2 linked regions of the Solanum lycopersicum genome follow. The protein of the gene in region 1 interacts with the protein of each later gene in a pairwise test. Links are inferred from orthologs where the notes say so. Each region holds a gene or a part of one and is shown in the gene's direction. Other genes may lie near its edges.

What was found. The genes of interacting proteins can lie anywhere in the genome.
Region 2: the proteins of BEL1-like homeodomain protein 9 (region 1) and T6 interact in binary tests that used the Arabidopsis thaliana proteins (3 or more experiments, as listed by UniProt). The link is inferred for Solanum lycopersicum from reciprocal best matches to the Arabidopsis thaliana genes RPL and STM.

Annotation. Positions count from the first base shown.
Region 1 is NC_090808.1:5,208,706-5,216,168, reverse strand, and holds the end of BEL1-like homeodomain protein 9, read left to right. Parts: 5' UTR 1-66; coding exon 67-627; intron 628-3,076; coding exon 3,077-3,420; intron 3,421-4,349; coding exon 4,350-4,410; intron 4,411-4,521; coding exon 4,522-5,070; 3' UTR 5,071-5,322; downstream 5,323-7,463.
Region 2 is NC_090801.1:61,368,937-61,377,451, forward strand, and holds T6 (homeobox protein knotted-1-like LET6), read left to right. Parts: upstream 1-3,249; 5' UTR 3,250-3,548; coding exon 3,549-3,899; intron 3,900-4,141; coding exon 4,142-4,406; intron 4,407-7,139; coding exon of another isoform or gene 7,140-7,145; coding exon 7,146-7,390; intron 7,391-7,809; coding exon 7,810-8,013; 3' UTR 8,014-8,196; downstream 8,197-8,515. UniProt on the Arabidopsis thaliana protein: Required for shoot apical meristem (SAM) formation during embryogenesis. Negatively regulates ASYMMETRIC LEAVES1 (AS1) and ASYMMETRIC LEAVES2 (AS2 or LBD6). Probably binds to the DNA sequence 5'-TGAC-3'. Binds to RNA.

The DNA of each region.
Region 1 (7,463 bases):
TTAAATAAAGAGTCTTGTTTATCTTTCTCTTGCCTTGTTTATTTTTTTTCTTAAAAAAAAAATTAAATGGCTGAAGGATTTGAACCTTATCATGTCCCACAACAAAGTAGAAGAGATAAGCTTAGAGTTTTACTTGATGAAAATAATAATAGTAATTGTCAAATCCCCCCTCTTTATGATCCATCTATTGTTTTATCTTCAGATTTATCAATTTTTCAAGAAATTAATGGTAACCCTTTTCTATATACATCTCAAATTCCAAGATTTCTTGATCATAATAATACTAATACTAATAGTAATAGTAATAGCAATGGTCAAGGTAATTTATCTTTGTCTTTGTCATCTCTTCATAATAATGACTTGTCTTCGTCTAAGAGTATTACTACGACTACTAGTTGTGTACCACTTGGACCTTTTACGGGGTACTCTTCAATTTTAAAGAGATCAAAGTTTTTGAAACCAGCACAGATTTTGTTGGATGAATTGTGTCATGTTACTAAAGGGATTTATGTTGATGATAGTAATGATGATGCTTCTAATTTGATGATGGATACTCCACAAGGTTTTACTAATGGAGAGGAACAATTTGGGAAAAAGAAATCAAGGTTAATTTCAATGCTTGATGAGGTACACCTTTTATTAATTATTTTTCCTTTTTATACATATAGTCATGAGGGTTCTTAATTTTGGTATTTCTACATTCTTGTTTTTCTAATTCGATATTTGATATTCGCTTTGAGATTCAACTAATAGAATTTTATGTTTTTTCATTTTCAAGATTCAAACTTTGAGACTTCGCGTTTGATGATGATATTTTTGTCAAACCAAATTGAATTAGGAGGATATTGCTAATAACATCAAAAGTAAAACTTTGAGTATTGATAAAGTTGTTTTTTGTGAAACATATAAATTATGTGTTTTAGTTGTGAATAGAGACATTTGTATTTGAATTAGGATAAATGGTATATATTTCACGTTACAAAAAAAAGTGTTAATTATATAATAAAGGTATTTTGAAATTTATAAGAAATTTATTTTTTTATAAATTTTCGTACGAATTTTAATGTAATTCACAACTTTCTTATAATAGATCTCCGGTGTAGTGTCTAGTGTGCGACTCTTCTTTTAAACTATTTGTGAATGCGGAATGATTTATGCACCCGATTATTCAATTTTAATGTTCACATTTTTCTTCTTAGCTTGATTTATTTTTTTCTCTTTGTGGAAAAAGTTTAATTTTTATTGAATGTGTGGTAGGGAGGGGAGTTCAGAGTTAGCTTGTTTCTGCATTAATTATAGAACCATATATTTTTCTCCATTGACTTTGCTTGCAATTACTCAAGTCTTTTTGGTAAGTTTTAAAAGTATAGCCATCATAATTTGAAATTTTTTTGAGTAAAATATTTCAAAAAAAAAGTAGTTATATATATTTTTTAATTTTAATTTTACTAATAAAACTATATTTTATTAGTAATTTTTAAATTCAAACCAAATATATTATCCAACTGCCTAACTTTTTACACTTTTTTTCTTATGATTCTTATCCAGCTGTTGTCTATGAAAACTCCAATGCTTTTCTTTTTCTAGCATATACTATATGTTAAAATTAAAAAAAAAAAAAAAAGAAGAGATTCTTTAAAGTGATGAGTTATCGTTAATGTCCGTACAAATATGCACTATGAGATTTTTTTGGGTATTTAGAAGCTTTTTAGCATTTTAATATTACTTCCAAATATTGCTTTTACTTTTTTCATGCTCATTAAAAAATTACAAAAAAATAAAATATAATTTATTAAAATATTTTTACTTAATAAACGAGTTAATTGATTTCCCTTAAACATCATTCATTCTTGTAGGCTATTGTCAAAATTAATAGTCAAGTACAATTCTGCTCTGATATCATGTTAAAGTGTATGATTATCTTACCTAAAAATTTAAATTATTAAAAAGAACACTTTTTATTTATTTAATAATATCCTCCATCGTAATTTTCGAGGGAGGGTACAACGTTTAGAAGAATAAGTAAAAAGAAAGGTAGGGAGTAATTATTTTGTGATAAATCTTTTTTTAGTTAAAATGGTAGTAATAAAAAAATATTTGTTACCTATATTAGATATACTAAATGATATTTTATAGTGTAATTTATTATTGAATTAAAGGCTACACAGGCTAGATGCCTATGTGATATAGGCGTACAGGTTCTTATAAATCACTAATTTTTCTTTTTGGGAAAAGGTGATTTAGGGAATATATGCACAAAAATTGGTGCCTTAATTAAAGTGTCCTACTCAATTATAGATAAGAAAATTCTAAATACTCCTCTTTTCTTTTTTTAGCGTGTGATATAATTTAATTAACCTTAAACGAAAAATATAAATTTTAGAATTAGTGCGCTTAAGTATGATATAAGATATTTGTGCAGCAATAAAAAATTTAAATTGAAACTTCTTTTGTATTTATTGATAGTTTTTTGAACTTGTATGTAGTAGTCTAATTTAATTTTATATTTTTATCGTATAAAAGGTAATTTTATATTGGATTGTTTGTTTTTTGAGTTAAGACTTTGTCAAAAATAATTTTTCTATATTCTACATAAAGTTATGATTACGTACACTTTTTTTCTCAAATCTTACTTGGTTGGATTATACTGAAGTGGTAATTGTTGTTTATGTATAAAGGTTAGAATTCCTTCTAATAAATCTAGTTACTTTCATATCGAAACGTATGGATTCAAGATTCTATTATAATATTTTTTCAATTTGAGTGTCTCGTGCGATATGTAACTTACTTGTGTTCAATTTTGTATAAGTATATCAGTGTTTATTTATGCACAACTAAAATTAGAACGTAAATATAATTTTCTATAATAACAACTAGTAGTTAAACGATGATTTGACAAATCAACCGGCTATCTCATATTGATGACTCACATTCAACACATATTTACTTAATTATGTTCACTACAACAAAAGGGACATTCGATAACAACAAATTTTCCTTCTAGCAGCAATTGAATTGATATCAATGTGTTCAGAGTTGCTAAAATCTTTAACGACGAGTTGTGGTTATTTTGCAGGTATACCATAAGTACAAGCAATATCATGAGCAACTACAAATGGTTGTGGCATCATTTGAATCAGTTGCTGGACTTGGAAATGCAGCACCATTTGCAAACGTAGCTATAAAAACTATGTCAAAACACTTCAAATGCCTTAAAGATGCCATAATTGACCAACTTCAATTTACAACAAGAAAATCTTCACATGGTCAAATTAATTGTGAAAGAGGAGTTGGAATTTCTGGCAAAGGAATTTATTGCCAAAGACAAGAAACTCAACCTGTTTGGAGACCACAAAGAGGGCTTCCTGAACGTGCTGTCACTGTACTTAGGGCTTGGTTGTTTGACCATTTTCTTCACCCGTAAGTATCAATTTATGTGTCTTACTTTCTTTTATTTAATCAAATTATTTATATATAGTTACTTTTTTAACTCTAATACGGTTAACTTGATATGTTTAAGGGTGTGTTTGGTACGAAGAAAAATGTTTTCCATGGAAAACGTTTTCCTAGAAAATGTTTTTCTAAAAAACAAGTAGATTTTGGACTTATTTTATCATGTTTGGTTGATGAGTAGAAAATATTTTCTGTGTGTTTAATTTATGAATAAAATTAACTTTTTGAGGGGTTGGGGGTAGGTGGGGGCTGGTAGGGGGTGGGTACGGGGGCCAACCGGGTGGGGTGTAGGAGTATAAAAATAAAAATTTGAAATTGAAAATAATTTTTCAGAAAATGTTTTCCTTCATACTAAACACACTCTAAGACTACACAAAAACATTTTGGTACTCACTCTGTCCCAAATCAGTTGTCGTGTTTCACTTCATGGATAGTTAACTTGACTAATCTTCAAAGTTGAATTTGATTAGATCAACTTCATCTATTACAATTAAAATATAAATTTTTAAAAACTATATGAAAAATATTACGAGTTGCAATTTTCATTGCAATTTGATGAAAAACTGTGTTTTAAAACATTGGTCAAAGTTTTACATAGTTTGACTCTCGAGAAATGATTTGAGATGAAAAGAGTATATTCATAAATATATATTTTAGTTTAAAAACATAAAATTCAAGAATTACTAGAACGTATCAATTAAAACGGAAAAAGTATCACTGCTCTATTCAAAAGAAGATTTAACTTACATGGACAGATACTGGCACACATTTTGGACTATAATTTACCGTTATAATATCTTATTAGCTAATTTTACTTATCATATAAAGTTCATTTGCAATTATATCTTTTAGATGATTTAACAGTATTAAAATCATATTACTTGATTTTATTGCAGTTACCCCACGGACACTGATAAAGTTATGTTAGCCAAACAAACTGGACTCTCAAGAAATCAGGTTTGTACATTTTCAAACATATTTTTACACTAATTAATATAGTTTTAACGTGTTATAACATGTTAGTTATAATTTTTATCGAATTAATAATATGATAACACATATGCTTAGGTTTCTAATTGGTTCATCAACGCGAGAGTAAGACTTTGGAAACCTATGGTAGAAGAGATTCACATGCTTGAAACTCGAGAAGGTCATAATAAATCTTCTTCACATAGAGAAGGACCTAACAACAACAACAACAACGATAGTAATAATCCAATTGAACATTTTCCTATGAGTAATTCAAATGCATGTGAAAGTAATACACCATCTACATCAACATCAAGATTACAAGACCTTCCATCTAAACGAACTCGAAATGAGTTAACAAATATTCCCAATAATATTGGAAGAATCGCGGATTCAATAAATTTATCCTATGGAAATTTGTCAACTGGAGTTGGTGGTGGTGTATCGTTAACGTTAGGGCTTCATCAGAACTCCGGTAATATTGGTTTATCGGAGCCATTTCCGATGAATGCAGCTAGACGTTTTGGTATCGATAGTAGTACGAGTAGTGGAAGGGTTATTTTTGGTGGATTTGATGAACAAAATGGACAATTTGGAAGAAATAATAGTATGGTTGGTGGGCAATTCTTGCATGATTTTGCTGGTTGAATGAACAAAGCAGGACGTCTAGTGTGACATCGTTATTTTTGGATATATTCGAAAGGTTATATTTTGTTGTATGCTATTAATACTTGCTCTGTTGTTTCGTCCAAACAGTTATGAGGTGTAAATTAAATTGGAGGTTGATCACAAGGTTCTTGATTTTAGAAGATACATTTCAATTTCATGTGTCTTTGTTTTGCTAGTAAAAATTGTTTACATTATTTAACTTAGTATATATATATATATTCTTTAGTAGAATGGAAGATTTATGCTTATTTTTATTTGAATAAAGTTCTTTCGAGGATAATCATAAGGAAGATCTTTGACTGAAAAAAGTATAACATAAAATATATTTATATCATTTTATATGGATATTATAGTAGATTTAATTTATTTTGGCTCGAATCGAATGATTTAAAATTATCATGTCTAGTTTTTTTGGGCATATTGTGTGTATATATGCTAACATATTCATGCATTTGATATTAAGAGTCCCAAACAACATATATAGCTAACTAAAGAAAAAGAAGATGTATTTATAAAGTTGATTATGTGATTCAAACAACACATTGTTATTTTGGGAAACAAGAAAAAGAAAAATGTATTTATATGGGTGTGTTTGTTTAAAATATTTTTCAATTTTTATGTTTTGTGTTATAGAAAATATTTTTTTAATCTATAGCAAAACAATTCCCTTAAATGAAGAGGAAAAACAACTTTTCTAATGAAATTAGCTAAGGAAAACAAATTTAGATATTCTGAAATTCATTATTTCTTTTTCATCCACTCGAACTAATTACTAAGAAAGTGACTACAAGTTATGCTATTTCTTTTTATTTTTTTTTAAAGGCGAAATAATCTGAAAGACCGCGTATCTAGCTCCTCGGTTTGTCATTTTTTGCTTCTTGGCTCAATGATGGAGGTTGCTTTATGCATGAGCTATCTTTGTTTGTTTTGGTTGCATGTTTTTCTTTTTTTGAGCAGCTTTCCATTGAACAATCATTTCAATCTGTCCTCTCTCTTTTTTTACCTTTCTTTTTTAACTAATAAGTTCTGTGTCACTAAATAAAATGTCTTCTTCCTAAAGAAATTTGGGAATCTTTTATAAAGGGAGCAGTACTTAAAAGTTTTTTTAATTCCCCATTTTAACTTTTTCTAGTGGGTGGGGTGGGCCTTTAATTTTCTCATTATTTTTCCTTAAAATAATTGAAACATATAATTATCGATTGCTTTCTTTGCTTTTCGTTTCGATATTACTGTTCTCTTTTAATTTATTTTATAAATAAATTGATTATAAATTTTCATTTTTACATATATTAAAATGACTTATAATCATATAAATTTTTATAATTTATTTATTTAAAAAAAAATAACCTAATTTAATTTGAAACAGAGTTTAAGAAAAGAAAGAAACTTTTAATCTTGTGATTCTAAATTAAAGTTATATTAAATGTTTTAATCTTGTGATCTTAAACATGCCACGTGGAAACTTAAAATTAAAATGTTGCCAAAAAAAAAGAATCATTTTTTAAAAAAAAAACAAATTAAAAAGAAAATAGAGACATTCTTTGTTAAACGAACGAAGTAATAACTTTTTAAAAACATTTTTAATCCAATTAAACAAATTCACATATGCGAAGTATACATCTTATGGATGAGAATATAATTGAGATGCTTTGTAATCATTTGTTTCTGTACACCATTTGGTGCAGTATCTTAATAATTATTGTCTTTTTTCTTTTTTCCTTTTTAAGGGCTGTAAAAGTAAATAGTAGCTTTAGAGCGTTAGAAGAGCCATTATAAAAATATTATTGTTAATATTATAAAAATATGAGTGCATTTCTCTTAAGTAAGATAAAAGTGGATATTTCATTTGGCAAAGTAATGGATTGATGTTAAACAAGAATTACAACTGAAAATTGTAAAAAAACTAAGGCAGTTAGTATAGCTCCATTTGAAGTAGAATTATTTCTTAAACTTTTTGTATCCACAAGGCAAACTCCTAGTAGAAAGTAGTGACAAGATATTAGATGCTTCATAGTCCATTGAGAATGGAAGCAGGAACAACACATCCTACAACTGTGAGTTTGGTTGGGTGATGTGTACGCAACTTTACTCATATTGGCGTACCATATATATATACACAAATAAAATGATACACGAAATGAGACACCCTTAACATAACAAGTTGTTACTCTAGTGGTCTCACCTCCTTGGAATGAGGAAGTGCTTCCGAAGCATAGGAAACAAACACTCAAATTAGTCTTTATTATGCAACATGCATGTGGACATAGGTAATTCTGTGTTGCAGATTACAGAAATGTTATGAAAAACAAAATGACTGTACAAAAAGTCGTAATTAGACGAAACAACCTAACCTGTAAAACATCTGGAAAAAT
Region 2 (8,515 bases), on another chromosome or scaffold:
TATAACATGTAACTGAAATTGTAATTAATTAATTTATAGTTGTGGAGCATAATTAAACTATTTTTCAGTAGCTATATGCGAAAGTTTCCATTTTTAAAAATTATATATATATATATATATATATATATATAGTTATATTCAACTCATATTTTAATTAAAATTTAGGTGTCTTTATAAACGCGCATTAATCAAAGTATAAGCATGAGATTTTACAGATTAGTAAGCTAGCGTTTGACCATAATATCTGGGAAATATATTTCACATTTTTAGAAAAATATGTTTTATACCCATAAGTTTTAAAAATTATCAAAACTAACTATAAGTTTGTATTACAAGTCAATTGGATATTCGTTGCAACAATAACAAATAATGCCCATGACACTAGAGCAATGTGATAGTTTGGAGGGAATGCAACAAACATCATTCCATAAGTCATGAAACAATTTTTCATCAACAACCATATAATCATTTAATGTTCACTGAATATTGCATCACTACTTTGGTGTTTACGTAAAAAATTATTTAATACAACACAAACAACTACTATAAAAGGGTGTTTTTGTTAAAGATAAAAGTTTGGAGTAAAATTTTAATTTTAAGAAGATCCCAAAATAATGAGATTTGGTCCAAATACTAGAAAAAAATAGTATTTAAGAATTTGAAATATTTGTTAAATAATGACAAATTGTAAATAAAATTATTTATCAAATTTTTCCCAAAATATTATTTGAGAAATCTATAGCCAAATGAGTCCTAAATGAGAAGACATACTTAAAATGATTAATTTGTATATGTAATGAACACTTAAAAATTCGTTGAAAATTAAATATATTTAGTATAAAGAGTTTATCAAGTATTTAAATACTCCTTGAATAAATTGTAATTTGAATATCTCAATAAAATTTATTATTTACTACCAATAATTTTGAATGTACAGAATAGGGTATTAAATTAAAGGAAAAATTCTCTTCCCTAGAAAATTTGTCCCGAATAATATCTTAAGTATGTTATTTATCTTCTTAAATATTTTCGTTCATTGACTTTAATAATTTTTAATAAAAAATAGAAAAAAGTTAGTTAATTTTAAAATAAAAAATATTTATAACTTTTTAAATTTCTAAATCAGATTCTGACAAAAAGTTCTAGCTATTTAGTGTGGATAAAACTTATCCGCATAAGATGTTTATACATCAATTCAATATATGCATGTCATGTCATGTGTTAAAATTTATTTTTCATTTTACTTCATGAAGTTACAAATGAAAATTGTGATAATTAGACGAAAATATTCGATACAAATAATTATTTTTCTATTTAACCTCAATTAAAGACCTCAAAAACTAAATACTAGTTATGTAGATTGGGTTGAAGATTCTTTTGGGGTGGGGTACGTAGCATTTTCCATTAAAGTGAGTAAAAACAATGCGAGGCAAAGTGTCCAAGTTACATTTTTTTCATTGAAATGGAAATAGGTGGGGGTTATAGTAATCTACACAAACCAAGAAAATGCCATAAGATAATAATGGCACTGAAGGCACCAAAAATATATATAAATAAAATGAACAGAATATCTGTGAATGAAGTGTGTTGTTTGTCAATAATAGGAAACTAAATTATATATTTGTCTATCGGAGTATGAAATACATCAAATATCATTTCTTATTTCATTTTTCATGTATAACTAGAACAAGAAAAAGACAATAAAGTTATAAATAGTTCCCTATCCCAATAGGGTAAATCTTTCTTCAAATATTTTTATTCTAAACAACTCGTTAGATTTTTTTTTCCTTTTCATTTATTCAAGAATTTTAACCTGAACTTTTTTTTTAAAAAAAAGAAAACTATTAAATTTTCCCTTAAAATAATTAAAATATCCTTAAAATTATTACTTAAAAAATTATAAATACTAAAAAACATATACACAAAAGATTACGACAGAAGATATATGGAATGGAAGAGATTTAGCATCACAATTTGGAAAGAGTATTTTGAAAATTAGAAAAAAAAAATTGGGATAAAAGTTTCTCGAAGATGCAAATAAAAAGTCAAGAAATTAATCTATTCCAAATTGATTAAAATATATTTTATCAAATTTAAAATATTTATAAATGAAAATTTATACATTAAACATGACCAACTTATGATTTTGTCTGATTTTAATGTTTTTTAGGTGATTAGCAATCTAAGTAATTTATTTTGAAAGTGCTTATAAAATTAAGATGGAAATTTGAAAATATCAGTTTTTGAAGTTTGAATGGTGTGTGAAATATTTTTGTAGGATTTAAAACAATACATAGGATAAGTGAAATGAAATTTCATCCAAATTTATGTAAATTGTCAAAAATTGATTAAAGTTTATGAACAAAAAACAATTTGTAATTTCTTTAAAAATTCTTCCTCCAAAATCTAGAGAAAATGTCATTGACGGTTTCTTAACTATTCGAGTAGGGTTTAAATAGTTTCTTAACTATTCATTTATAGGATTTAATCTTTCTAATTGCTCAAAATATTAATATATTTGATCTTTTAACTATTTACTTACCGATCGATTTTGGTCAGACCTACCATAGAGCTTAGTCTCTTAAAGATGTGAATCTCAAGATTTTCTACTGCTATATCCACTCACATCACAATTCACACCTTTGTTGTGCGTCTATTTTTTTCCCCTCTCCCTCTAAAAAAGATAAGTTTTCTTCACGTTTTATTCTTGAAAAGTAGTATTTTTGTTAATTTACTACTAGTATAATATAATGTGTACGCTAATCTAATTTTTAATATAAAATAATGATATAAAGTTTAATTTAGTGGTTGAAAGAAGAAGCAAAGCAAAAAGAATCATATTCAATTAAGGGACAAATAGGTCTCAAGTTATAATATTGGTAAGGAACTCTCACTCTTGTCTGTTTTCCAATAACCCAAAAACCAAGAAACACATAAAAACACAGAAGAAATTACACTGCACCTCGATTTGATCATTCTAATCTAAAAATAAAAATTAAACTGTATATCTCTCTCTCACTAGGAGAGGAGGGATATTGGCAGATAATGACAGTGTTTCAGTGGCAGTGAAGAAAAAAGGGGTATGAGTTTTCATTGGGAAGGTAAAAATTTTGCACCCAAATACAAGCTAACCCTTTAACATGTTCATGTTTTTCATAGTCTTTGCTTCTTGCTACAACACTATAGAGAGAAAAAAAAAAGAAAAGAAAAGTGAACAATACACTGTTTTTTACTAATTATTTTTTAGAAAAAGAAAAAAGGAATATTGTGTGTTTGCTTTTTTTTCTGACTAGTAGTATTGCTAACTATGTATTCCATTAAGGATTTGCTGTGAAAAAGCCTGATATCAGTAAGCATAAAACTCGGGAGATCACTTACACACACACACCCTCGTAAAAAAGAGAAGAGAGATTTACTGTTAAACAGAGGTTTTTTTCCATTTCTTTTTTTTTTCTCAGTGTGTGTGAGAGAGAGAGATGGTTTTCATAGGCAAAAACAAATAGAAAGGAACAAAATTTAGAGTGAAGAAGAAAGTGTGTGAGAGAATAATGGAGGGTGGTTCTAGTGGAAATACTAGTACATCTTGTTTAATGATGATGGGATATGGAGATCATGAGAACAACAACAACAACAATGGAAATGGTAATGGAAATGGAAATGGAAATGTAACAATTTGTGCTCCTCCAATGATGATGATGATGCCTCCTCCTCCTCCTTCTTTAACTAACAATAACAATGCAGAAACAAGCAGCAACAACATCCTTTTTCTTCCTTTCATGGACAACAACAACAATAATCCTCAAGAAGACAACAACTCTTCTTCTTCTTCCATCAAGTCAAAGATTATGGCTCATCCTCACTACCATCGTCTCTTGACTGCTTATCTCAATTGTCAAAAGGTGAAATTCACCCCCCCCCCAATTAACACCAACAAAAAAAAATTCATTTTTTTTTCAACAATTCAAAGATTATATTTTTTAACATGGGTTTTAGTATTTCTTGAAATTTTGATGATTTTTTCTACCTTGAAAGTGACTCTCTGCAACAATTCAATAAAAAACCCTGAAAACAAAATCATGTGTGTGAAAGGGACAGTAGCTGAAAAAACCTAGTTTTTTTTTCTTCTTTTTAACAACTGCAGATAGGAGCTCCGCCAGAAGTGGTGGCAAGGCTAGAGGAAATATGTGCCACGTCAGCAACAATGGGCCGTAGCAGTAGTAGTAGTGGTGGTGGAATCATTGGAGAAGATCCTGCACTAGATCAGTTCATGGAGGCTTATTGTGAGATGCTGACAAAATATGAACAAGAACTCTCAAAACCCTTCAAGGAAGCCATGGTTTTTCTTTCAAGAATTGAGTGTCAGTTCAAAGCTTTAACTCTTGCACCTAATTCTTCTCATGAATCTGGTGAGATATATATATATCAAATTTTTTTTCTTCATTTCTTAAAATGGTGACATTTATTCTTTTCAGATCCTAACTGTTTACTTGAGTTTATTCTTTTATAAATTAATGTCCTCTGCATGTGCATGTTTCCAATGATATCAGTCATTAATTAATTATTATGTACTAATAAAATAAGCTCAATTCCATATGCAGACCATTTATTTTCAATTTTTTATCAATTTACTCTACCTTCTTGTATTTCACAATGATTTTTTAAAATAGTTTTGTTTCTGTCTCAATATTCAATGAAATACATCTGCCAGGGATACTACCTGGAATTTATATTAAAGAAAAAGAATAATTATCTTATTTTGGTTCTTGTTCTACATGTTCATAATATTTGTGTGGTGCTAGTTGTAAGTGTAAACAGCAAGATATATTTGTCCCTTGTTAATCATTTCAAACTGGATGCTTGTGTATGCTGAATAAACTCAACTTGTCTTGTTCTTTATTTGGAATGACCCTGGGAAATATGTCTTTCTTGTTCCAGCTTTTTTCCCCTACTATTCATGTGCAGGTTTTGTTTGTTCTATCATGTGCCAATCACAGATTAATTGATGACTAGCTCAAGATATAATAATGTATTAACCCTAGTTTTCTGTATTGAAGCTGCATATATTATGATGGTGAATATGAATTTCAAAATTATATTACTTTGGTTTTACTTCTGACACTCTATGAAGTAAATTTTTTGATTCTCTTGTGTTGAGGGTCTTTTGTAAGTATACTGAGGTAGAAAGGGAGGGGGTGGCGGAGATAGCTATATACCAACCAGTCTTAGGTGATTTTGCACGTTGGATACACCAGTTTGTTGTTGTAAGGAGCAGATTATTACATTATCTTTCTTTTGATCAAGTCTTTTTCAACATAAGCTTTCATTTGAATTCAATTTATGTGTGGGTGTTATGTTTCTCAAAGTTAGTTGAGTTTATGTTTCATGCTTTGATTGTTTAAAATATAAGACTTTTGAGTTTTGGAAAAGGTTATTCATTCCATGTTTCTCTCGTTAATTGTGTTGATTGGTAACCCCACAAATTAACGTCAAGTAATCTTTATATTACTGGAATCACTCTCTATAACTATTATTGTTGCTAAGTAGTAGTGTTTTTGATGATTTTAAATCTATTAGGTATTTGGAAAGATGTGCTGAATTAGTTGGTTGTCTTGGAAATGGTTCATAACTACGAATGCTTAAATGTTACACCGTATAAGCTAAATAAACACTGAAAAAGGAACTTCCATCTAATGGCAATAGTTTGTATGTATTTGGATTTCAATCTGTATTTGTTTAACTTGGAAAGCTCCAATCCATCTTAGCAAGCACTTAAGTTTCATATATGGTCTGTGAAGAAGTCCTTGATCGGCTGAACGATTAGCTGTATCGCACAAATAGTTACAATCTTTCGACATAATTCCATGAGGTCCCTCTTTTAGACACTTTAAAAGAATAGAAAGATACAAGACAAAATTGAGAAATGCACCTTCCTTTTAGTGAGACCCATAAAATACTCTTGATTAGATTTGGAGCTTTTATTGGATTGTATCATATAACCTACTTGATGTGTTATACTTTTGTTTAAGTCATTGGATTATGTAGTTGGTGTTTTTTCATCAATACATCTTTTTTTTTTAATTACTCTTTTGAGTTTATTTCCTTTTTTTAGGGTGCAAATATCTAGTCGAATGTATTTCGGAATTCAAAGGATTCATCTTGGTGAATACGGCTTGCTTAGTTTGATCTAATTGTATATTTGTTCATATGCTTATTGACAAGTGTTTCCTTAATCAGCTAAATTTCTTTGGAAGTTTCTTTGCTTGGACTTTTTTATTCACATAATAGACAAAACATAGCAAACTTGTGAAGTTAATAATCTATAGGTACTCAATGGAGTCTTTAATGGGATAAAGAAGACGAAATTTGTTGAGTAGCTGTTGGGTTTCTGAAGGACCCACTGATTTAAAAAACTGAATCTTGAGGAGTCTAAAAGAAGCGAGGGCTTAACTGCTTGCAATTACGAGACAACTGAAGAAATTGGCTTTTTTTGGACTTAATTGCAACATGGATAGTTACTCTCATGTGTATTTTTTGATAAGTAGTAAATAGTAACGGGTCGTTTGGTGAGAAGGATACAAATAATTAGCGTGGGATAATAAAATAGTGATGGTATTAGAATTTTGTTTTTTGGTTGTCATGCTTGGGATAACTTATCTCACTATATTCACCATAGTGATTAGACCCATGGTGGGATAAATTATCCCAGAATACTAATTTGTTCCCAACCAAACGACTCTTGATAGTTCTCAAGTATATAGGGGTAGTTAAGTTTCTCATAAAATTTATAAGCTTCTTATTCTCTGCCTAGATTTAGTGTGAGTTATGAATCGCTTTGTTGTTTTTGATTGTATTAACTCTAGCATATTTTTGTTACTCTTCTTGTGTAAGAAACTACTGAGAAGTTTCCAAATGCCTAAGAGCAAAATGATTTATGTTAGCCTGTAGTGTTGGCTAATCTAACGTGCCAAACTTTTGATCACGTCCCAAGAGAACCAGCTGAGTACTCATACTCAAAGCTTATCTCGTATCCTAGTAGCTAGTGATTTTTACTATAATGTTATTATAAGCCAAGTTATATTCTCAACTATAGTTGTTCCTTTTTTTCTTGGAGAATGGTTATGCTAATTTAAGTCTTAAAGGTGTAGCTTTGGGCGAGGCAATGGATAGAAATGGATCATCTGATGAAGAGGTTGACGTGAATAACAGTTTCATCGACCCCCAGGCTGAGGATAGAGAGCTCAAAGGTCAATTGTTGCGTAAGTACAGCGGTTACTTGGGAAGCCTTAAGCAGGAGTTCATGAAGAAGAGGAAGAAAGGCAAGCTGCCTAAGGAAGCAAGGCAACAATTGGTGGATTGGTGGCTTAGACATATTAAATGGCCATATCCATCGGTATGATCCTCCTTCATTCCTATTAATAACTTCACTTCTTGACTCTATACACTCTGTTAATTTCACCTTATGTCCCTTAGTAATCCATACAAAAAGAATGACACTCTTAAATTTTAAAACATAATGTTACGGGTGCACGAAGTTTTCGCTTGGTCTTCATTCTGAATTAAAGCTAATATCACTTAAATTAGAAAAGTAAAAGTATTGCTTTTCTAAATTGTTAAATAAATCAGTCCTTAGCTCAATATCTACATATTAATTCTACTCTACTAGGATGATCACTTCATTGTAAGACCATATATTGTTTTTCGCTTGCCTTATCAGACAAGGTTGTGATGTGTGTCCATCTTATATACAATAATGACAATGCATAGTTATTTTACGCGGTCAAGTTACATTGCGCGATTCTTGGTTTACAGGAATCTCAGAAGCTTGCACTAGCTGAATCAACGGGATTGGACCAGAAGCAAATAAACAACTGGTTTATCAATCAAAGAAAGAGGCATTGGAAACCATCAGAAGATATGCAGTTTGTTGTGATGGATGCTGCTCATCCACATTACTATATGGATAATGTTCTTGCTAACCATTTCCCAATGGATATGACACCCTCTCTCCTCTGAATTAAGATTTGTCATTATTAGTATCAAGGATGTTTAATTAATTTGCATATTACTTGTGTGCATGTAGTAGTACAAGGTATTGTGACACAATCAACTTTTTATTAGACCAAATATATAAAGTGCTTGTAATAGATCTTTCTATTATCATCTTTAATTATAGAATTAAATAGTTTGTACTTGCTAGTTTTATCTTTTCGAGAATACTGCCTGCGAGCCAGCGTCCAAAAGCCATAATTCACTTGTTGTATTGTACTTTGCGCGGCATTTACTGATTTCTTCATTGGATATTTCTGACTAAAATTGTAGACTTTACAAAGCTAAATAAATTGGGGATATATTCAGTACTTTTTTTTCTTGAAGTGCATGTAAAATTTGTAAGTCCAATCAGAAAAACAAAATATCCAATGTTATTTTGCAAGTCAAAACTTAATATACCATACATAAATGTACGTAAGAATTTGTTTAAATTTGAGTCATACAATATTTTTTTTTGCCAATAAAA